4 linked regions of the Arabidopsis thaliana genome follow. The protein of the gene in region 4 interacts with the protein of the main gene of each other region in a pairwise test. Each region holds a gene or a part of one and is shown on either strand. Other genes may lie near its edges. The genes, in order: YSL3, AT2G25520, CAT9 and AT1G66760.

Region 1 (6,349 bases), on a different chromosome or scaffold from region 4:
ATCTTCACTCAAACTGCAAAACAAGAACACATCAAAGCTACTAATCAAAATTTCTGATAATACAGAGTACTAGATACAGATTCAAATCGAAATCATCAGAACGATGATGAATGAACGAATATACTAATTCCCTTATCGATTTTTGGAAAAAGATGGGATCTTTACCCTTTCAGATTCAGAATTTTCGATAGCTCCGAAGCTCAGAAATCAGCAGAAGACGGAAGAAATAGAGGTTCCTCACCTACTTAATTGTGTTCAATATAAACAAAATACGAAACTACCCTCGATATTTTGCTTAGGGTTTGGATGAGCAGGGGTAGTTTTGGTCAAGTTGGGCTTTGACTTTAAACAAATCAAATTGGGCTTTGTGCAAATCAAATTAAAATTTGGTTTCCATTTTTGACGAGATTTTATTTTGGTCCACGTTTGGTACTTTGAAAAATACAAATATGACGTGTGCTGAATTGACAAAAAAAAAAACAGACACATAAAGTGTGATCTAACAACGTTTAGCAGATTTCAAAGAAAGAAATAAATCTTAAAATAGAAGAATCTTGCCTTTTGTCAGTAAAAACATATACCAATTTAACCGTATTTTTATCACTATTTTGGCAAATATCTTCTGGAATTTAATTCCATTTGACCTTATTCTAAAATATTGAGTTTCTTTTTGGGGAGAAGTTACTTGGGACATGGATTTTTAAATAGAATTGAGAGACTAGTTTATTACTTTATTGTGTATACAAACTTACAAAGTACAATTCCTATATAAACTGTTTTTTTTGTTTCCACAATTCTTTAGCTAATTTTTTTGTCGCTACACAAAAAAGTAAAAACTCGTAAAAAGCTATCTTTAACTCGAATATTTACTCGGCATGAAGCCCATACATATAGGAGGTCTAACGCCGGCCAAAGCAAGAACCGACGACGGCAAAATCCATAGACCATCTCCACATATCAAACCGGAAGCAACCGCCGGTACCATTAAACCGGCTTTAACTCGATCTCTCATATTCCAAGCAAACACAATCAAACTTCCCACACACATATCAATAGCAAAGTACCCTCCAACAAGAAACGGAACCGCCATTGCCATCGGTAATGGAACCCAATTCCCTATCTTATCCGGTAACCTATCCCTAACGAGATTTGCCGCCACCGCGAATGCGAAAAACCCGTAACAAAGCTGTAAACAATGTTGAGGCAAAGCAGAGAAACCTTCAACTCCAAGAATTGCCATGTTTCTGTATACCAAAGCGTAAGGAGCTTTGTACTCTCCCTCCTGGTTCCCGACATCGAAAGCTTTATAAAACAAGAAGAAAGTTAGAGGCGCCACAACGCATCCGATCGCTGTACCGATCGCTTGACTCACAAGCATCGACCTAGGTGAAGTCAGAGTCAAATGTCCTGTCTTGAAATCGTGCATTAGGTCAGAAGAAATCGATACAATCGATTTTATCAACCCGCATCCGACAAGTCCCGCGACTACACCATTTTGTTTCCCTGCCATAGCGGCTAAGATAAACAGAGCGACTTTACCATAGTTATAAGCCATGTTCATATCTGTTAGCCCTGCTCCATAAGCGTTACTGAAACCTAACGATGGAGCTAACATGTAAGCTACGACTATGAAGTACCATTTCAGCTCGGGGAACATTATAGGGATCGCGATGATCGAGACAACAGAGAACGCTGCGTATCCTACTGCTGCAACCCATAATGGAATGCTGTCTCTTACAAAGATCTCATCTCTTTTAAGATCTGCAATAGATTGCTTATCTTTCTCCGAATCTGCGATTTACGTTTGAACATCAGATAATACATTATTGAAATGACGATTTTTCTATAGTTTTTTTGGTGTATACTTACTAGATTTCCCAGAGTTGCGATTGTTTAACTTGACGTACATGTTTATTCCTGTCTTAAAAAGTATCTTGATGAATTGGTAAAGCCCGTCTCCGAGGATCAATGAGATTGATATAAACACCTAAAGAGTTATGAACAAATTAAGAACGAAAGTACGCGAAAGAAAGGGCGGAGTTTATTGTAGAGTACTAGTGTTTTTTGTATGGAACCTTGTAACCATTGAGACTCTTCATGCTGTTTTCAGGAAGAGTTGATGGGAACCAATCTCCTTTAAGACCTTTAATGAGTGGCCACATGATTCCCCAAGACAGAACCGCGCCAAAAAGCAAAGATATATTGACAATATGGGGACAGATCATTCCTGCTCCAACGTATGTCATGCTAAAGTCGAAGTAGAATCTGTCAAGTTTTTTCAAGATCATCAAGATTCTGTTTCTATCTGTTGATATATAAACAGTCAATAGAACTAAGAATAATACTCACGTGTTCTTCAAAGCTTCTAACCCGAAAGTTGGAAACTGAATGAAACCGCACTCTGTACCACCAGAGAAGAACCATTGGAAGAAAGCCCAAATGAAGCTAAATGAGAAGTACTTCACAAACCCAAACACTTGTTTCCTGCATATAAACAGATTTTATTTAAATCAAAAACTCTAGAATTAGTGGTGAAAGAGAGCTAAGAGACTGCCAAAAAATCGAGTTAATACTTGGCCATTTTATTGCCTTTAGGAGTGTGGAAACCGTTGATCAAAACCGCGGTAGCTGTTCCACTTGGATATGTCAGCTTGTAGTCTATGATCATGATCTGGTTAACCAAAAAAAGAAGCATAATGAACACTTAGCAATGTAGACCCAAACCAGCCAACAGGGGATTAATAGTCCAAACTTGGCCAATATTAATCTCCGTCCTATGTTGGCTATAGCGGGTTTGGCCAGGCCCATATCACACTTATATGGGCCGGACTGACCCGCAAACTTTGGCCTACCGCAACATCTCTAACTACAAATTCAATGAGACAGAATCTTAAATAATCTCTACCTTTCTTAGAGGAACCAATGCTAAAAGACCAACAAAGCAAGTAAAGAACAAGAAAGCGGTCATCCAACCGATTCCAGGCTCTTTCGTGCCTTCCGGATAATTCCCATCAGTGTGAGTTCCTCCTGACTGTTCATAAGTAATTCTGTTCAAACCAAGAAGGTATGAACCAAACCCACCTGCAAATCACACAAACACATAGCTCAAAACAATGATCCAACCCCAAACAAAAACTGATCAAACAGTCAAAACAACTGGTCAAAATTCACTGAACCTCCAACTGCAATGCTGTAACAAGCAACAGCACATGTTTGGACAACAGTGTTCTCTTGTTTAGTGAACGGTTTAGTCACAATCCCGGCTTTGGTCAACAGCTTGGTCCAGCTTCTAAGGAAGACAAAGGCTAAAAGTGCTGCAGAGACATTTAGGTTTGGGACCAAACCTGTTGTTAGGTTTAGTTTCATCACGATCACACTGTAGATTATACCAATGATTAAACTTGCAACAATTCCTCTGAAAGTGATTTGTTCCTTCCATGGAGGTATTGACTTGAAATCATCTCCTTCGTTTTGCGTCTCTTCCAAGTCATCTATTACTTCTCTTTCTATCTCATTCCTTCCCTCTCTCTCCATCATCATACTCCTCATTTTTTTCCAAGAACAGAACAAAAAAACAGAGTTTCTTCTTCTTGATTATCTTTTTTGACAATACTGAAAAAACAAAAATTTGTCAAAACAAAAACCCAAAAGACAGATTCTTTTAATAATTAAATATCAATCAAAAGCTTACTTTTATGGAAAATGACGAGAGGAAAAAAATGGTACCTCTTTTTGGATCAATTGATTCTGGGAATTTTATATAAAGTTTAGAATTTTTCTTGCTTTCCACTCCCAAGCATAATTATCTGAAGAAGAAGAAGAAGAAGAAAAAGAAACAGTTGCTTAGCAAATGAGAAAAAGGAAAACTAGAGATTATTTTAATCAAGTGCATAATCTTTATAACCATAGAATAATGACGCAAGTTATCTCTTATGTTCAGAGATCTAATTAAAAGAATTAGAAAAAAGTTAATGACTCAAGAATCTGCCATTAATCTCTTTTGCTTCAAACACTTTTTTTTCTTTCTGAAATCTGTAGTAAACGTAAGAAAAGAAGAGAATGAAACGTAACTGGTTAATGAAACAGGGACACACACACGAAGACCACACTCCCGTTTCCCAAAGAGATAAAAGAAAAAAAACATTGAATGCTTACACGAAACGAAGACCAAAGAATAGCTAAAAATGGTATAGTTGATTTTTTAAAAATGGACTTTGGTGAGACTACTCAAAGTTATATAGAGAAGTAGAGATGAAGAAGAAAGCTTAAAACCAAGAAGAATTTATTTATGGGATCTTGGGTTCTTATGTACCGCACGTTGACTTGATATCAGTACTACACAAAGAAAAAAGAAAAGAGAAAAGAGTTTTGGGGTTTATGTAGTACAATAATCATTAAGGGGTTAAACTTTATAAAAGTTACGTCACCGAAAAGAAAAAAAGTAGGGTAACAATTAATTATTAAGAATATACTCCACATATATAACCTTCATATATCTCACTAAGAAAGTTATATAATTTATGGATGTATAACTAAATGTCACATACGAAAAATCAAACTTTATAAGTTTGTCAAACACATGACTATTCAACCATTAGATTAGTATGTAGAGGAACAAATGTCATTATCTCTCATAAATATATAACAATTAGGAGTTTAGGTGATGAAATAAGATTAGGAGTCAAATAGTTAGTAAAATTACACTTGAAATGATTTATTCGTAACTTTAGATTTGTGTTTTGGTTAGACTTAGATATAAATTATGAATGTATTTCTATTTCTAAATATTTTTTCCATTAAAATCAGTTCATCCATAATTAAGTTTTTTTTTGTTCTAATTATAAGAGATGGTTAACTTATAACTAGTTACAGATTACAATATCAAAAGTCTTTTAAAAGTCATAAATATGATATCATAACTAATTAACCTTTTATAGTATTAAAATACATGTTTAACTCAATGAATCTGGTGACATTCATGTGAAACTGAAAAAGTGAAAAGTTTGGTAAACCGAGATTCCGGTTCATGTGACTGTCTTTTACTAAACAAGATGATGACATTATGGACAATCTTATGCCATAACTATCCTCTTTATTTTATTGACCACATGATTAATATTAAAGCCAAAATATGGAAACATAACTCTCCATAATGTGAATAATAATTAAAATTTTCTTAGGTAGTCAATCAAGAAAATGGTAAATGTCAACTCCATACCATGTGGTCACAAACATACCAAAACCCCAAAAGAAAATTAAAGTCGAATAAATTATTCAATAAGTTCGACTTTTGATTCTTTACGTCAACACGTCAAATTCATAAGTAGAATTGGACTATTATATTCGGACGTTTCCTGGCCGAATTTGGTGCGTTATATTACACCAATCCTGCGTGATAGGATAAGATCAGATCAAACCAATTAAACCATTTTTTGCCAAGAACATACGAATGAATTTGCATTTTTGAAAACCAAGACTTGTTTAAGACTGAATTTTATAAGATCGTTCCCAACCTATTTCAATCGGCCAGAAATATGTTCAATTTAATGCATTGGTTGATAAAGTTGAATAAACTACTGTAACAGCCGTTGGTTCAAAATAATTTTGTTCACATTATAGTATTTAATGTAGTGTTGACTAGAGTTGGGGTAGTAACTGGTAAGTACCACTAGCTAGCTAGTTATGAAGTGAACGTGTTACAATTCTCTCGTATATTAGATTTTTATTTTCTTACATCGTCCTTCCTTAAACTAAATGATATGTAGTAGTATCATTTAGATCTCTATATGAAGGAAATGGAACTAAAACTGTTAACACGGAAATTGTGTGAATACAAACCACTAGACAATAACTTTCGAATGTCTCGTAGTCGTAGGCATATATATACATGATCGAATATTAATGTGTCCTCGTATGCTAAGTAGATATTACGAGGCCCTATGGAGAAGAAAAAGAGAATAATACTACTCTCTTTTGTACGAACTTTACTTTTCTTTTCCTATATTTTTTTTAAAAATATGTAATTCACTTCTTCCATGCATTCCTTTGAATAATTATTTATGACTTTTTTACAACATTTATGAGGTACTGCATCTGAGAATTACCTATTTTTAACATTGGATTCAACTGATGGTGTTAAGTGTGAGAAAGCAAGATCAACCATATGACTATCTATCTATAACCAAGATTTACTAATTACGTCCTAACCTTCTCAGCTTGACCATGCCTATCTTCATAGCTAGACCTCTCGGTGGATCCTTTCTAATGATTGAAAGTATGATCTTACCCAAGTTCAGTTCATGTTTGATCAATTGACTCTTTTAAGTCTACCCAATTTTTGTCTTCGCCT
Region 2 (4,827 bases), on a different chromosome or scaffold from region 4:
TCTCATTAATATAAAACTCAAATAAAGTTATATAAACTGACAATATTAATTGTTAACAGTAAAAAAGAAAAGAAAAATGGAAGAACCGCACATAACAAGTTAGAAACACTAAAAAATATATGTACAGATCATTCATTTTGTCACAAAACTGAACAACATGTGGTTCATATAATTTTTTTATATTTAAATATAAGAAACAAGCTTTTGTTAATAAAATGACGAATGGAGAAGAAGAATATACGGTTCCTCCACATTAGCAATAGAACCATACTGTCTCCACTCTTCCATTGAAGGTAAAAAAATGTAATGGGCTCTCTCTCTAAAGAACGGTTTTTCTGGCAGAGTTCCGTCTAAGTTTCCAGTTGAATCCGGCTTTGGTATCTGGCTTATGACACGACTAATTCAGTATCTTATTTTTGTTATTTATATGAATAATGTCCACGGTTTTAATTATGGGGATGCCACTTTATACGGTGATTCGTTTAGGTGAAGGTTTTACTTCTGCTTGTACTATTGGGTCCGCGGTTGATAAATACTATCAGATATGATTGCATACTTGCATGTAACTGATAAAAATAATATTTGTTACTTTACGTATTTTGAATTACCAATTAGCCTGTATTTCAAGTAACCAGAACTACTAGTTACTAAGCAAGCAGTTGTGCACTTATTAGATCATAATAATAATAAGTACTCAATAACTAAAATCACCTTAAAACGGAAATTAAAAAAATGATCGACTTTGATGTTATCATATCCGCCACTTTTGTTTCGTTCTCTCGGGCTGAATCGTTTGTTTCGTTCTCTCTATCGTTACTAGCTCTCTGTTTCTTGTTTTGTCTCTATTCATTAACTTTGCTTCCCTTATTAGTAATTATAATTTATAAATTCTAAATGATGTCTCTGTAAAAGAGAAACAAAGTAGATAAATATTAAGGGAGAAATGTAAATGTAACTGCATAATCGGTTTGCTACAAACTTATTTTTCCCTCCTAAAATGTTTCTTTTCTTTCTTTGCAAAAGATTCATTCGCTATATGCCTGTATTGGTTAAACATTAGTAGAAGTATTTTTGCAATTGGCGTGCAGAACATGGGAAGTTAGTAGCTACTTTATATATGGCCACATGACTTCCTCGCACGTCACGTAATCGGTGAAATGCTGTCCATGTGACAGTCAGACTCTTCGTAAAACAAATGTTCCGAAAGTAGTAACTACGGATAATTTATTTATTTTTGCAAACGTTACTGTAGTTACAAAATAAATAATGTTCCTTTGTAACTTTGGCGTGGGATTTCCAAAAAGTCTCTTGTCACATGAAACGGTTTTGAAAAATTTATAATCTCACTTTGAATTTGGTATATGTATTCAGACGAATGATAAGATACCAAATTATTTTAGTCGTTTTAATTTATAGATTTATTACTAACTTTTTTTTTTGTAAATTTAAACTTTCAGATTAGGCAACACCAAATAAATGATATATTTAATAGAAAATGTATGGTCGAAAAAAAATATTGTAATGTCTCTACACCAGAAGCTTTTGTTTTGACTTTTGAGTGTTTGAATCATTTGAAGTTTTGAACAGAATAATTCCACAATCAAAACCAAATAATATTTTATCAGGCGAGCGAAAGACAAGATTTTGACAGGTATTTGTACAAGTACTGAGTCGGTCAACAAACCCCGTCTGGACTCTGGACCCGAAGTAACCCAACAAACGTTGCGACAACTACATTAGCACCACCACCAAGGCACCAATAATGCAACGTAAGAGGGACGCAGCAAAACTGTCGCGATGTGAGATTCACGCGCTCTAATTTAAACGTTGACTCTTTGTTTCATCGTTACTCTCTCCCATTTATTTACTTCGCATACTCTCTTCGTTACAAGTTTCCATTTAATTACTCTTAAGTCTCTAACTAATAGCTTTAGGGATTCGTCATTAATTTAAGGCAACGTAAACTTAAAGAGTTTCGACTAAAAGCCGTTTCAGGAAACATACATCATCACATACTTTATCTAAATAACTGGCTTATTAATTTTATAACAAAAATGACGTTATTTAGTGTTAAGATATACAAATATTTAATTTTTACTAAATTAGTTAAGGTAAAATTGTGTTCCTTTCTGTGAGTTTTCCGCAATATTAAAAAACCCTAGAGAAATTAACAAAACGTAATTGACTAAAAAAAGAGTTCAAAACAAAACATTTGTTACATTTATTTCATAATTTAAAGACTAAGTATAAATCCACTAGAAAACAGATGATTAAAAATGCGGGTCCCACAATACGCCAATCGTCAAATAATCGCGCACCTTTTCGCCACGTAGCATAACAAAGTCACGTAAGCCCTTCCTCTACATTACAAGACCAAACTCAAAGTCTCTTTCTCCCCCAAACCCAAAAACATTGACCCAAAGAGAGAGAGACTTCTATCGTGCGCACCTCTCTCTCTTAATCCTTTATCCTGCGCACCACCACCACCATCTTCTTCTCCGGCGAAAACAAACCCACCGCCATGGGGAAAGGTCGTGCACTTTCCGACGGAGTGATCAAAAAGATCATCCTTTCATACACCTATGTCGCAATCTGGATCTTCCTCAGCTTCACAGTCATCGTCTACAACAAATACATCCTCGACAAGAAGATGTATAATTGGCCATTCCCAATAACTCTCACCATGATCCACATGGGTTTTTGCTCTTCCTTAGCTGTGATTCTCATCAAAGTCTTCAAAGTCGTCGAGCCTGTTTCAATGTCACGCGAGACTTATCTCAGATCCGTCGTACCAATCGGCGCGTTGTACTCACTTTCTCTCTGGTTATCAAACTCTGCTTACATCTACCTCTCTGTTTCCTTCATTCAAATGCTCAAAGCCCTAATGCCTGTAGCAGTTTACTCAATCGGGGTTTTGTTGAAGAAAGAGACTTTCAAATCTCAGACTATGACTAACATGCTTTCGATCTCGTTTGGTGTTGCTATTGCTGCTTATGGTGAAGCTAAGTTTGATGGTTGGGGTGTTTTTCTTCAGCTTGGTGCTGTTGCTTTTGAAGCCACTAGGTTGGTTTTGATTCAGATCTTGCTTACTTCTAAAGGAATCAATCTAAATCCAATCACTTCTCTCTATTACGTTGCTCCTTGTTGTTTGGTTTTCCTCTCTGTTCCTTGGATCTTTGTGGAGTTTCCAGTTCTTAGAGATACTTCGAGTTTCCATTTCGATTTCGTGATCTTTGGAACCAATTCTGTTTGTGCGTTTGCTTTGAATCTTGCTGTGTTCTTGCTCGTTGGGAAAACCTCTGCTTTGACTATGAATGTGGCTGGTGTGGTTAAGGATTGGCTCTTGATTGCATTCTCGTGGTCGGTGATTAAGGACACGGTCACACCTATCAATCTGTTTGGTTATGGACTTGCCTTTTTGGGTGTTGGATATTACAATCACTGCAAGTTACAGGCGTTGAAGGCTAAAGATGCACAGAAGAAGGTTCAGGCAAGTGATGACGAAGCTGGGAAGCTTTTGGAAGAGAGGGAAAGTGAAGCTAAACGCAACGAAACCCAAGATTGATCTGTTCTGATTCAAGAATGCAATTTCAGGAAATAAGAGCTTCAAGGTTAGAATGATTTGGGAAGATGGATTTTGCATTTTCATAGGTATGATTATCATTGTCGGTGTTCGTTCGTCTACGTTTTAGTTTTGCGATTATATTTTTAAGTTATGGCTGATTATATTACATAGTGATGGATGGGTGTTTAATTAGAGGTTCATGAATCTTTTGAACTCCATTGTATCTTCTTCTTTTGAGTTGTATTTTGTTTCTTACTTCCTCATGAATCTATCTTTGTGGGTAACAATTGTTTTAGTAGTACTTCTTTATATTTTTTCCCTCCATTGAGATTGTTAAATGTCAAATTGAAAGTCCCTTTTACGTCTCTCTTTATCCAATGAAACCGTTGTATGTTGGAAGGCACAAGAAGATGGTCAACACCAAAAACTTTTTGATATTTTATGGGTTATGTAGGATCATTTAGTAGCAAGATCCACAATTTAAGGAAATAAACAAAATACCCATACCGACGTTCCCTTGCAATAATATGACACATGACACCATCATATGAATACAATGGTCTCATTTAACCTCTACAAATATCCTTCCTTTAGTCTCAACAAGTTTCTGTCCTGAGTAAAGGGACAGGCCAAATAGGTGTTAGATACCAAACTAAAAACATTCAAACAGGCTCACGGGTTATGGATTTCTCATCAGCGAATATTTGGGAACTTTTAACACAATTCGGATCTACTCTCGCTTGGCATAAAAGCTGTTTTGTTCCAGAACAGAATTCATAAGCATGCATTGGTGCTTGGTTTGTCACTTTGTGAAATGTGACTTTGAATAGCCATCCTACCTCTTGGCAGAATTGTTTTTGGATTTGGGTTATATCCTATCAAATTCCAAAACTTAACAAACCAGTTTTGTTTGATTTCAACTGGAATCTTATAACTAGCTCATAGTTCCTACATATCTTTTTTTTGTTTGAATCTACTACATATCAGGCAGTAGTATTCTAGACTCGGACGAAACTTTATTAGTCCAAATTAGGCTGCACCAAACGAAATGCAGATACATCATACATGTCACGGACCGGACCACATCGGGTTTGGCAGATTTGGCATCCTAGTTTTGACATCTCTACCAAACCCACTAAAGAAATCTACACGGACACTAATAAGCCAAATCAGCAATACGACAAACGGTCCATATTCCACCACGTGGCTCTCTTATAGTTCGTCACGTCGACACCTATTAATACCGTTCTAAATTCTTCTCC
Region 3 (5,802 bases), about 23 Mb from region 4:
GATGAGACGATGGGAGTTGGAGCCATTCTCGTGGATCAAAGGTCTCAAAAGTGGAGTGTGATTTTGAAGAGATGGGGCCAGAATTACTTTCTGAGTTGTGGCTGGAACGACGTTGTTAAGGCTAATAAATTGAAAGCTGGCGACGACATCTGTCTTTGGGCGTTTAGGTGCGATGGAGTCCTCTGTTTTGCCATGAGGCAGTATAGCTCCTATTTTCGTCATTGACAAGTTTCTTGTGTCTGTTGAGATTCACATTGGTCTAATCTTTCAGGCCATTCTTGAGGTTTTTGGTCTAGTTAACAAAATTAGGGTTTTTATTTTTTACTAGGATTTCTTTCATCTCTCTTTTAACACTTTGTCGGGTTTTTGAGTTTCTAGGATTGTTTAAAATGCAGGAGGCTTAGCACAGTCTCTGTTTCATGCTTAATACAATACACTCTCTAAATAATGCTTTCAAGAAAAGAAAAAGAAAAGATTATACCTTTAGAGTTATTATAAGAGGAAAACGAAGTAAATCAGAACGGATTAACGAACTATATAAAACAACAAAGTCACTCTTTTCAGTTTTCATTCACAACAAAATCTTAATGGGGCTTCCACTTCTTCTTCATCGCCTTTTTCTTTAACCTTCTTCAAAACTACATTGCCGAGTCCAAGAAGACTCCATCTTTGTGTCTAACGGGAGACCACGAGCCCCAAGAGGCGTGTGGTGTCACCGAGAGGGGTAAATCAGAAAGACATCAGTCTTTGGTCTTTCAGGTGGCGTGGAATCCTCTGTTTTGCTCTTGTTCCTCCTCTTACATTGAGACAGAGTAGCTCTTCCAATGCTCGCCGTCTCTGCTAAGCTTCTTGTCTCTGTGGAGATTGATCTTCATTTGTACAGCCGGCTAAGTTGGGGCAATTCTAGAGGGTTTTGGTCTTACTACAATGCTAGAGGGTTTGGATGTCTGTTATTAGTAAGCTTGTTGTTTCTGATTCTATACTATGATCCGTTGAATAACTCTAACATTGAGTATGTTTATGTGAACATTGCTAGCTTCTGGGATTATTTGGTAGCACAAAAGCCATTTTCAGTCATTCAAGGCTTTAGTTGAAATGCACAAGCATACTTTTATTAACTTCTTTACAACAATAATGTTTAACTGCCTTATCCCATCCAATCCTTAAACTCGACCTGAATATGTATGTGACATACAGTATGTCTCTCACGAAACGCAGAAACTTGCTATCAACTCTACAAATGGCTTTAAGTAACACAACTATAATGTAGCATTACTAAGCGTCGCTTTCAGTTTCAGGTGCCCTCTGATAATCCAACATGCTCGGATCTGCGTGGTACTGCCCATACAAGGCATAAACGGCAGTTGCAAGCACACTGACAACAACAAATCTTATCCATGCTTCATAATGCAACTGCACAGTAGCGGAAAAATCAAAGGTAGATCATATGGTATGTGAAATTAGTATAAAGTTAGTTCTTAGCGTGTACCTGAGCAAATAAGAAGATGTTGAAGAAAATGCAAACGGATGGCACAATGGGTACACCAGGACAGCTAAACCCAGAACCTAGAGGCAGAGCATAAGCCTGGAAGCGAAAAGCTGAGGGGTTTAACATGAAGCATAGCTAGCAAGGCATTTGCCTGATTTGTGGAGACAACCATGAGGGTATATTTCCTAATTGATGTTAACAAACTTCTCCTCTAAACCAAGAATGCAAAGACTTCAATAGTCACAGACTTTCATAGTATCACTGTAGAGTTCTAAGTGCCAGAACATGCTAGTGGTGGTCTCTATTTTATGCTGTATCAGTAAAAGACTTAGTATCTAGCATTTTAACAGGGGTGAAACTTGGTTTTTTTATTTTATTTTTTTTGGCGCTATGAAATTAAGAAGAGTGTGCTATGGAATTAAGGCTTATACTTAAGGCTACTTACTTGGCGATAATGAAGAACTGCTGAAGCAACAACTGCCACACCAACTGAGAGGAGAATAAATATAACTGAAGCACTGAAACGGTAAAATACGCCAGCACCAAAACCACTGCATGCAATTATAACAAGGCAAATGACGCCTTCCTGCCAACTTGATGTCCATCTATTGGACGACTCTCTATCTTTTTTATCATTCAGTCTCAATGCCACAACACAAGCCGCAACAACTGAATACCCAGTCTGAAGAAATGGAACACCGAAAATAATGTTAAACTGGAAAGTATAAGTATCAATAAGAAAAGCAAAGAGATATTTAAAATTAAGACCTTGACGTACCAATGTACCAACAGACAGAATATGGGAAAGACTATGTACATTAAATATGCCAGCTAAAACGCCAGCTACAATGCCGCACCAGATTTGAGAATGAAGAGGTGTATGAAGAGTTGGGTGTATTCTGGAAAAGATTGAAGGCAATAGACCATCCCTTCCAAGTCCCAGATATAACCTGGACTGTTTATCCGAAATATCATATGATTACTCAAGAGTGTTACCTTGGTTTGCATAATATACAAGTACATAATAAAAGAAATTACAAAAGAAATACATATATATATATTATCACCTGAACATAAAGACCAACAAGCAGAGTAGTTGTGAGTCCAGCAACAGCACCAATACTGATTAAGATTGAGACGAACTTCATACCCTTTGATGAAAAGGCTTCAGCTAAAGGAGCATCTTCGCTGAGGAGGCTAAAAGGGACCATCCCGGTGAGCACCAAACATACGCCAATATACAGCGAGATACAAACCAGAAGGCTCCCCATAATTCCGATTGGCAAATCGCGCTGAACAAGAATTAAACAGACATAAGAGACTTTGTAGATAGTATGTACATTCAACATATATATAGGCAGACCTGAGGGTTCTTCGATTCTTCAGCAGAATTAGCAACTGCATCAAATCCAACATATGAAAAGAAGACAACAGTAGCTCCAGTGAGAACTGCTTTAAAACCATTAGGCGCAAAAGGAGACCAATTTGCTACATCAATTTCAAAAGCACCGGCACAAATCACAACGAGAACGATCACGACCTACAGAAGAAACAATATAGTGAAGAAGAGTTTTTTTTGGTAAAGATAAGAAGAGAAGGTTAAAAGGAAAGAAGCTTACCTTAGTAGCAGTCATAACGGAGTTGACAGCGGAAGATTCTCGCACACCTTGGCATAGAACAAGGGTCAAGAGAGCAAGTAAAATGGGAGCCAAAATATTCAAAGAGAGAAGCCCTCCCAAGAGCTCTTTGCCGCTTCCCATCCAGAGAGGAATAGAGCCCTTGAGGGCTGGAAAAAGCTCAAGAAGAGCAACAGCATAGCTGGCCAAGCTACGGGAGATACTAGCGGCGCCAATATGATAGTCAAGCATGAGTTGAACGAAAACAAGAAAAGCTGTGATCTCATTGAAAGCTGAGTAAGAGTACATGTAAGCTCCACCAACAACAGCAGGGAAACGAGATGAAAGTTCAGCATAACAGAGAGCGTTCAACACACACGATGCTCCAGCTAGCAAGAAGCTGATTGTGACTCCTAGGCACGCAACGGCAGCAATAATCACTAAGCGATTCTGAACGAATCAAGGAGGTGGTGAGAAAAAGTAATTCATTCAACTGACCAGGTCCAGCATCGCGAGCGACGGTTCCGGTGACGACGAAGACACCGGCGCCGATGGAAGCGCCGACGCCCAACAGTATGAGGTCGAAAAGGCCGAGGCGACGAACCAGAGAGTCGCCAGAGGTGGAGCGAACGGCAGTCTGCGAGGACGGAGGGGGCAGTGATTTAGATCGGAGAGCTGAAGCACGGAAATGAGAGAACCATGTGGCGGAGGAGAGGCGTTGGTTGCTGAAACCTTCGTGGCCTCCCATGGAAACTTCAATTTGAGAGTTGAAGATTGATCGAGACGATGACTGAAATCACCCCCGGGATAATCAGAATCCAAATCAATAAATATTGGGCCAACCATTGGGCCCAACAGAGACCACTTAAACCCAATAACCCTCTAATGAACTGAAAGCTCGCGACGACATCTGTCTTTGGGCCTTTAGGTGCGATGGAGTCCTCTGTTTTGCCATGAGACAGTATAGCTCCTATTTTCGTTGTTGACAAGTTTCTTGTGTCTGTTGAGATTCATATTGGTCTAATCTTTCAGGCCATTGTTGAGGTTTTTGGTCTAGTTAACAATATTAGGGTTTTTTTTTACTAGGATTTCTTTCATCCCTCTTTAGCACTTTGTTGGGTTTTTGAGTTTCTAGGATTGTTTTAAATGCAGGAGGCTTAGGATTAGGTTTTTAACATGATTCTGGTTCTACTTTAGTTTCTGCATCAGTTAATACCTTTGACTTCTTGTAATATATCTCAAAATCTCAACCAGAGGATGGAGTTTTGTACAAATCTTGCTATTCGTCCAAAATGGCCATACATATCAAAATCAGGGTTGTTTTCTACTCATGCTGGAAGTTAGTTTGGTTTCTGAGTTGTTCTTGAATCTCACATAATCATGATAAGTTGGCTGCTGTGTCGTGTTGTAACTTTGTTAGCAAGCAAGCTGCCGCAGATTCCCTAGCTTCCTCAGCATCAGACTTTTCCTCTCCATGTATTGTACATGCGACATGATTCCCCGTGATTCTTACTTCAGCTTCATATCCACCTTTTTGAACAAAGCATCAACATCAACATGCAAATCTGAAGGGAGTAATGGAGCTGAACTACGAGTTTGGCAAATGATCTCAAAACTTTACCATCTGATGGAGCCACACGATAGTTTGGTAGTACCCAGTTATTCATGAGACAGATATCATCGAGTCTCTGCAATAAATAGGGGCAATGAATCTTAATTCTTTGAACAAGAAATGATTAAAGTAACCATAAACTAACCTGACACAGACTTTTAGTAGAAGGAAGAGTTTCACTGAGCTTCAGCCTCTTGTTGCTTTGGCATGCTGACTTGTCAAGAGATTCTTGAAGGTTACGCCTCGGGTATGTCTCGTTACAGCACTCGAGTACTGTTTCTAATTGCAGCTCCCAATCACCTATAACACCCACGAGATCACTAAGATTCATGTAAAAACAAAGCTGTGCAGAAAGGAAAAGTATATGTATATATACATACCTTTGATGTTCTGGATGCATTTATCACATTTAGCAATCTCGTCTTCTATGTTCCTCTGTTGACGAGTCTGCAGCCAGAGAAAAAGAGAGCAGCTCTTAATCATAAAATAAGGATATATATGCTATTGCCAATCAGTTTTTTTGCTGTGTTGTGTATCTTTGATCAAATTCTACAGTTATTACCAGTTTATCTCGTTTGCAAAGAAGAACTTTCAATGCAGTTTCGGATAGTGATGTTGCTTTAGAAAGAAGAGACGTCTGTAGCTCCTCAAGATTTGGATTAGAGTTATGAGCAGAAGCAGGAGTTGAATTAAGCTTATGAATGCTATTAAGTCTGTCAGGAACAGCTTTCTTCCTCTGGAGACCTCTTTCTTTAAGTTCCTTTGGGTCAGACGCAACCTGCATTTACAAAAGGGTGATAAAGGATACTTGAAGATTGAATTGAGAATATATAATTGTTAGTGTAGATTTCAGATTTCACCTCGAAACCACCTTTCTCTCCATTCGAATAGTTATCCTTACAAGGGCTCATTTCATTACCTACATTCTTAGCCTTCAACGCAACTACTGTCTCCGAGTGAACATTAGGTTCCTTCGCACCACTCATACTTCCTTTTAAGTACCGATTTTGCAACCTCGTCGTAGCTTTTCCTCTAGCTCCAGGATGGCTCAGTAGAGCGGCAACTTTTTTGGCCTGCAATTTAAA
Region 4 (5,197 bases):
TACAAACTACAAAGATAGTGCTTGTAGATTAGATGAATCCAACGTTCTCAATGTAGTTTCGAGTGACAAATTTGCCGAAAATTAGTTTTCGGAAAAATGTCCAACGTAACATCCCAAAATTTAAGTTTCAATACCAAGTTGGGTTTATTGCTAGTTTTAGAATGAGGTTCAATTGAAATATAATTGAAAACCCCTCCTCTTGAGCAGGCGTATCAGGAATCCAACATTAAAAGTGTGATGTAACCGAGAACGTAATATAAAAATGATATGGGTCAATCTATTTATTGTTAGGAGTTCCATGACAAGACTCTTACGTTCATGAAATCAATATCTTGATGCAAAACTGAACTTGAACATGGACTGAAGCGAGGCTAGATTCATTTAACAAGACTCTCACGTTCGTGAAACCAATTTACTGGTGCAAAACTGGACTTGAACATGGACTGATGCGCGGCTGGATTCATTTGACAAGACTCTTACGTCCATGAAACCAATATACTATATTGGTGCAAAACTGGACTTGAACATGGACTTCTGCGAGGCTGGATTCACCTCATTGTATAACTGATTTTGCAAGTCCATACATTTTTGTTTCTTGGATTGATGTTGATTTAATTTAACTTTTTGTTAATCTTCAATATTATGTATGACGTGTCGTTGCTTCCACGTGTTTTCTGCCATAACAATTACCTACTCACCTTGACTCTTATGAGCATCTCTTGTCGGAGAAAGTATTCAAATTTGCTTTTTGACTTCTTTAATTCTTTGAGTATATCCTTTCAAGATACTCTCTCTTTGGTTCATTATTTGTTTTTTGGCCACGTAAAGTTGTATTATAGACTTTATAGTATAGAAGTTTTAAGCTTGAACCAATCAACTTTGGTCACTCTTTAATTCATCTATTATATACCAGATCATTTTTTAACTGAGATATATTTTCAAACTTTCTTACACTCTAATATCATATGAAAGACTATAATGTACTTTCAATATAAATTACAATCAACTGAAGGTTATTGCACAAACACACACAAAAAAAGAAGCAATCAAAATCCCCCAAAAGTTTGTATTTCTTTTTTTCTTCAATTAAGCAATGAGTCATGTCTCCAAACTTTCTCATCACCAATTCTCTCCCTAGCCTTAATTGCCTGCAAAATTTCATTGAAGAAAAAATGTGTAAACAAATATTAGCTCGATTTCTCGAAAAATCGAATGATGGATTAGAAACAGAAAAAAGCGAGTTACGCGGTTACAATCACCTCTTTGCTCCAATTGGTAAATCCAATAACAAGAAATAGGATTAGAGTTTGTAATGTTGATCCTGTGACTAAACCAGCCCAAAGTCCTTTCCCATTGAAGTGAAGATGAAAACACAATAGAAGTCCAACAGGAATACCAATGACATAATAAGAGGTTATGTTCACATAAGCTCCAATTTTTTGCCACCCTGTTCCTCTCACAATCCCTAAACAAAACAAAACATATATTCGGTTCACGTTCACAAAAAAATAATAACATGGTTGCAAAACCGGAGATGCGTGTTAAGAAAGGCTAACCGGAGAGGACGGTCAAGAAGCTGTCCATGAGGATTGAGATACAAAGAATAGGAGTGATATCAGTCACATAACTAATTACTTCCTCCACATTGCTATATGCATAAGGCCACACACTGCGAGACAAGAACAGACTAGAGCTCACAATAACTGACTCAACAGCTGCAATTATGATTGCAGCCGCAGCAGAATCACGAGCCCCTCGCGGATTCCCAGCTCCTAGCTCATTAGCCACATTGGTGCTAACCAACGAAACAAAAAAAAATGAAACATTAATTCTTCGAAAATAAAATGAAGTGAAAATTCGATGTAAGAGTATTAAAGTAAGAACAAACCTTGCTGCATCACCAATTCCATTTACTAGATTGTAATGCAATGAAGAGGTCGTGAGGCTGCTCAATCCCAAAAATTAAGGCTTAGAAAATGAAAGAAAATATAAGTATCACAGATTATATAGTTTTGCGGTTCGATACATTACCAAATCGAAATAACCGATGTTTCGAGCTTTGAGTTGGGTAGAAGACCAGACAGCAAAGTAATGACCTCGAAAGCTAACCACTCAAGGCTATTGAAGGAAGCAAGAGCAATAAGAAAATAAGTGTCAATAGAATATTAGTGAAGGGAAAAAAAATCCATTACACATTTATTTATGTAACCTAAGATTTTAAATCTTTCACCTATCCACAAAACAATGACCACCACTAGACTACCATCACTTGGTTAATTCTATATGGATTTTTAATAAAGTTGTACATACTTACCAACACATCATTGCAGAAGGAATGGCAAATTGAAAGAAGATATTTGTATGAACAAAAACATCCTTGGACATATAAATCCGCGTTTCGACACAACGACTAGAGCGTTTCATATAAACCCAAAGAAAAACCGCGTTGAGCCAGTAAGAGATACCGATAGACGCAGCCGCTCCTTTGGCTCCAAAATCAAATTTATGAACCATTAGCCAACAGAGAGGAACATGGAAAGACAGAGCAGCTAGAGAGCTCAAGACCATTGGATAAATCAAGCTTTGTGACTGAAAATATCGAACCAACGACTCGAGAACAGAGTAACCGAATAAAGCTGGTACCAGCCAGAGACAGTACACACCAGCTAACTCTGCTATTTGAGGATCTTGATGAAGCAACAGCAAGATCTGGTTCATGAACATCCAAAGAATCGAAATCGGAACAGAGATAATCAAAAGGAAAACTATTGAAGTGAAAGTGTAAGATCCAAGCTTGTGATATTGTTTTGCTCCATATGCTTGACCACATAGTGTTTCCAATGAACCTGAAAGTCCAAACTATATAGTATACAACAATAATTAGAAACAAATTAATCCAATACATATATATATATAAAGGTTCATATACTTGCTTACAAGAACACCAAAGCCGGTAACATTAGCAAAGGAGCTTCCTAGAGCGATTCCGGCGAGAGCGAGTTCGCTCCGGTGACCGACGATCATTGTAGAAGTTGCTTGAAGAAGGTATTGAGACATGTTCACGGCGACCATTGGAGCAGCCATTGAAGCAACTTTCTTCATCTTCTCCCATCTTATTTTTTCTTTATCTTCGTCTTGTGATTGTTTGGTGTTCAACAATAACGGAGTTTCGATACTCTTCTTCATTTTTTTTTTCTTTCTGGTTAGAGAAAATGTTGGAAGTTGTGTCGTATTTATTTAGCTTTATGATTTTGATATAATAAAATTTGTATTTTGATAAATAATATATGCGACGTCGCGACTCGAAGAAAAGAAAATAAACACGTTTCCGCTTCCGCGTATAAAAGCGAAATCGTTTTCGACTTTTATCATCTCACTCATTTAAGTCAAAAGATAGAATTCAGCACGTGTAAGAAGAAGATGCATCCTAACTAGTAACTAATAATTGGTTCCTATTTGTAGTTTGTACTTAAAAGATTTTAGTTGTGGAGTCTTTTTTTTTTTTTATGCCAGAGAAATTAATTAGACAACATAAAGTTTGTTTTGGTTGTATAGCCTTAAAAAGAAAAGTAAAACATGAATGGTTCAGTTTTAAGGCTTTGTGAGTTGTTGAAACTTTTTAGAACCTTTTACCAATCAAATACATTTGTGGTTAAAACTTAAAAATCATGTCGGTTCTTGAAAAAGGCAAGAGTGGTATTAACAATATTTTTGATTAGCATGAGATAGAACTGGAACACAGAACAATATAATACCTTAAGAGTATCAAACAGATATGAAAACTGAATTAGAATCGGTGTTTCCTCTTCAAGCCTTTACTAGTTGCTTCGCTTTGTGTTTCTTATCGTGTTATCTCTTGTATTCGTAGTTCCTTTAGTCGTAGTCTTTCTCCCTTTTTTTTTTTTTTTTTTTTTTTTTGCTTCTATTGTTTACTCTGTATTCTGTCTCAAACTTGAAAACGGTATAAATACTTAACATCGATACCAAAAAAAAAAAAAAAACTGAATTAGAAGATTTTTAAATGTATAGAACCACATACTGATCATCAGTTATTATTTAATTAGTCATAAAATGAGATATACATTTCTAAAGAATAAGGAATAAAAGTCTCTCTTCGTATTGATTGCATTGGCTCAAATCGATAAACATCGGTCCATGATCAATATTTTTAATATCATATCATTTATTTAAGTATTGAACCTAAGATGGCTTTCAGTGGTTACCATCTTACAATAGATTTTTTTTGTCAGCGTTAAACCACTTATGAGAAAAAAAATGTATAATATATGTAGTAATAGCTAGTTTTCAAAAGAACAACAAGATAAATTGTTATTTTGTCAATAGATGATATATGAAAAAGACTACTCATGACAGCGTGATTTATGTAAATTGTGTAACATAACTATAGATTAATTTAATATTTTATAATTATTTATATTATATGATATTTTTATGAATGGTTGAATTTTTTTAAAAATGGATATTTCTTAATCTGCATATTTAACTAAAACCTCTTATATTTTGAAACATAAAGAATACTCCTAGACTAGACATGCTGAGGCCTGAGAGGACAAATGAAACTAAACACATGTTTCAATACTGACCGACAGAAAGAAAAAAATAAATAAATGAAAAGAATAATAATAAAACACATGTTTCAACTTTAAATACATATCTCGATGAACCTAACCTAATCCACATCTCCATGTTAATTCATTGACAAAAACTCCAATCCATGATAATACTCCAATAACATAAAGTTTTAGTTTTCAAAATCATTGTTAAAAAGTACTATCGACTTTATATACTCCACAACATAAATTTGAAATTAGTCAGACTAAACCGCCAAAGTTAAGATTTTGTTTGTGTTTCTAAACAAACAAATTTTGCTCTACTTGATATCAATAATAAATCCGTCTCTTAATGACATTTTTTTTTACTATTTCGTTAACAAAATAGATGTAACTTAACTACTGATTACTAGTATTATTTTTGATTCAATATATCATACATACTTTTTACGTTTTAGTATAAATGTCATTTACAGGTTCTTCACATATAGTAAAAAAACAATTAGATTTTTTTGTCTATCGCTTATTAATATATTATACAATTTTTTATAATTGGTCAATACATTAAAATTGAATATTTACCAAATATCTACACTAAAAATAATAACAATACTTATTTTGAAATA

What was found.
Region 1: the proteins of AT1G66760 (region 4) and YSL3 interact in a protein complementation assay, tested with the Arabidopsis thaliana proteins (one large-scale study listed by BioGRID).
Region 2: the proteins of AT1G66760 (region 4) and AT2G25520 interact in a two-hybrid assay, tested with the Arabidopsis thaliana proteins (one large-scale study listed by BioGRID).
Region 3: the proteins of AT1G66760 (region 4) and CAT9 interact in a protein complementation assay, tested with the Arabidopsis thaliana proteins (one large-scale study listed by BioGRID).

What each region holds. Positions count from the first base shown.
Region 1 is NC_003076.8:21,753,281-21,759,629, reverse strand, and holds YSL3 (YELLOW STRIPE like 3), read right to left. Parts: upstream 4,380-6,349; 5' UTR 3,905-4,379; exon of another isoform or gene 3,807-3,904; 5' UTR 3,727-3,806; intron 3,638-3,726; exon of another isoform or gene 3,613-3,637; 5' UTR 3,550-3,612; coding exon 3,177-3,549; exon of another isoform or gene 3,082-3,176; coding exon 2,906-3,081; intron 2,672-2,905; coding exon 2,574-2,671; intron 2,485-2,573; coding exon 2,350-2,484; intron 2,266-2,349; coding exon 2,076-2,265; intron 1,988-2,075; coding exon 1,870-1,987; intron 1,792-1,869; coding exon 854-1,791; 3' UTR 697-853; downstream 1-696. Other genes in the region: CB5-E (cytochrome B5), read right to left, coding at 1-2. UniProt on the Arabidopsis thaliana protein: May be involved in the lateral transport of nicotianamine-chelated metals in the vasculature.
Region 2 is NC_003071.7:10,858,429-10,863,255, forward strand, and holds AT2G25520 (Drug/metabolite transporter superfamily protein), read left to right. Parts: upstream 1-2,239; 5' UTR 2,240-2,521; coding exon 2,522-3,565; 3' UTR 3,566-3,982; downstream 3,983-4,827. Other genes in the region: AT2G25530 (AFG1-like ATPase family protein), read left to right, coding at 4,631-4,768.
Region 3 is NC_003070.9:1,800,090-1,805,891, forward strand, and holds CAT9 (cationic amino acid transporter 9), read right to left. Parts: upstream 3,912-5,802; 5' UTR 3,854-3,911; coding exon 3,604-3,853; exon of another isoform or gene 3,519-3,603; coding exon 3,109-3,518; intron 3,030-3,108; coding exon 2,853-3,029; intron 2,782-2,852; coding exon 2,557-2,781; intron 2,445-2,556; coding exon 2,268-2,444; intron 2,172-2,267; coding exon 1,935-2,171; coding exon of another isoform or gene 1,908-1,934; exon of another isoform or gene 1,586-1,907; coding exon 1,490-1,585; coding exon of another isoform or gene 1,472-1,489; exon of another isoform or gene 1,414-1,471; coding exon 1,276-1,413; 3' UTR 1,021-1,275; downstream 1-1,020. Other genes in the region: AT1G05930 (B3 domain protein (DUF313)), read left to right, coding at 1-200, 760-844; AT1G05950 (uncharacterized protein), read right to left, coding at 4,484-4,635, 4,727-4,793, 4,863-5,017, 5,098-5,164, 5,280-5,495, 5,578-5,790. UniProt on the Arabidopsis thaliana protein: Permease involved in the transport of the cationic amino acids.
Region 4 is NC_003070.9:24,900,099-24,905,295, reverse strand, and holds AT1G66760 (MATE efflux family protein), read right to left. Parts: upstream 3,415-5,197; 5' UTR 3,187-3,414; coding exon 2,938-3,186; exon of another isoform or gene 2,860-2,937; coding exon 2,315-2,859; intron 2,119-2,314; coding exon 2,032-2,118; intron 1,946-2,031; coding exon 1,889-1,945; intron 1,796-1,888; coding exon 1,557-1,795; coding exon of another isoform or gene 1,552-1,556; exon of another isoform or gene 1,466-1,551; coding exon 1,260-1,465; coding exon of another isoform or gene 1,242-1,259; exon of another isoform or gene 1,149-1,241; coding exon 1,083-1,148; 3' UTR 853-1,082; downstream 1-852.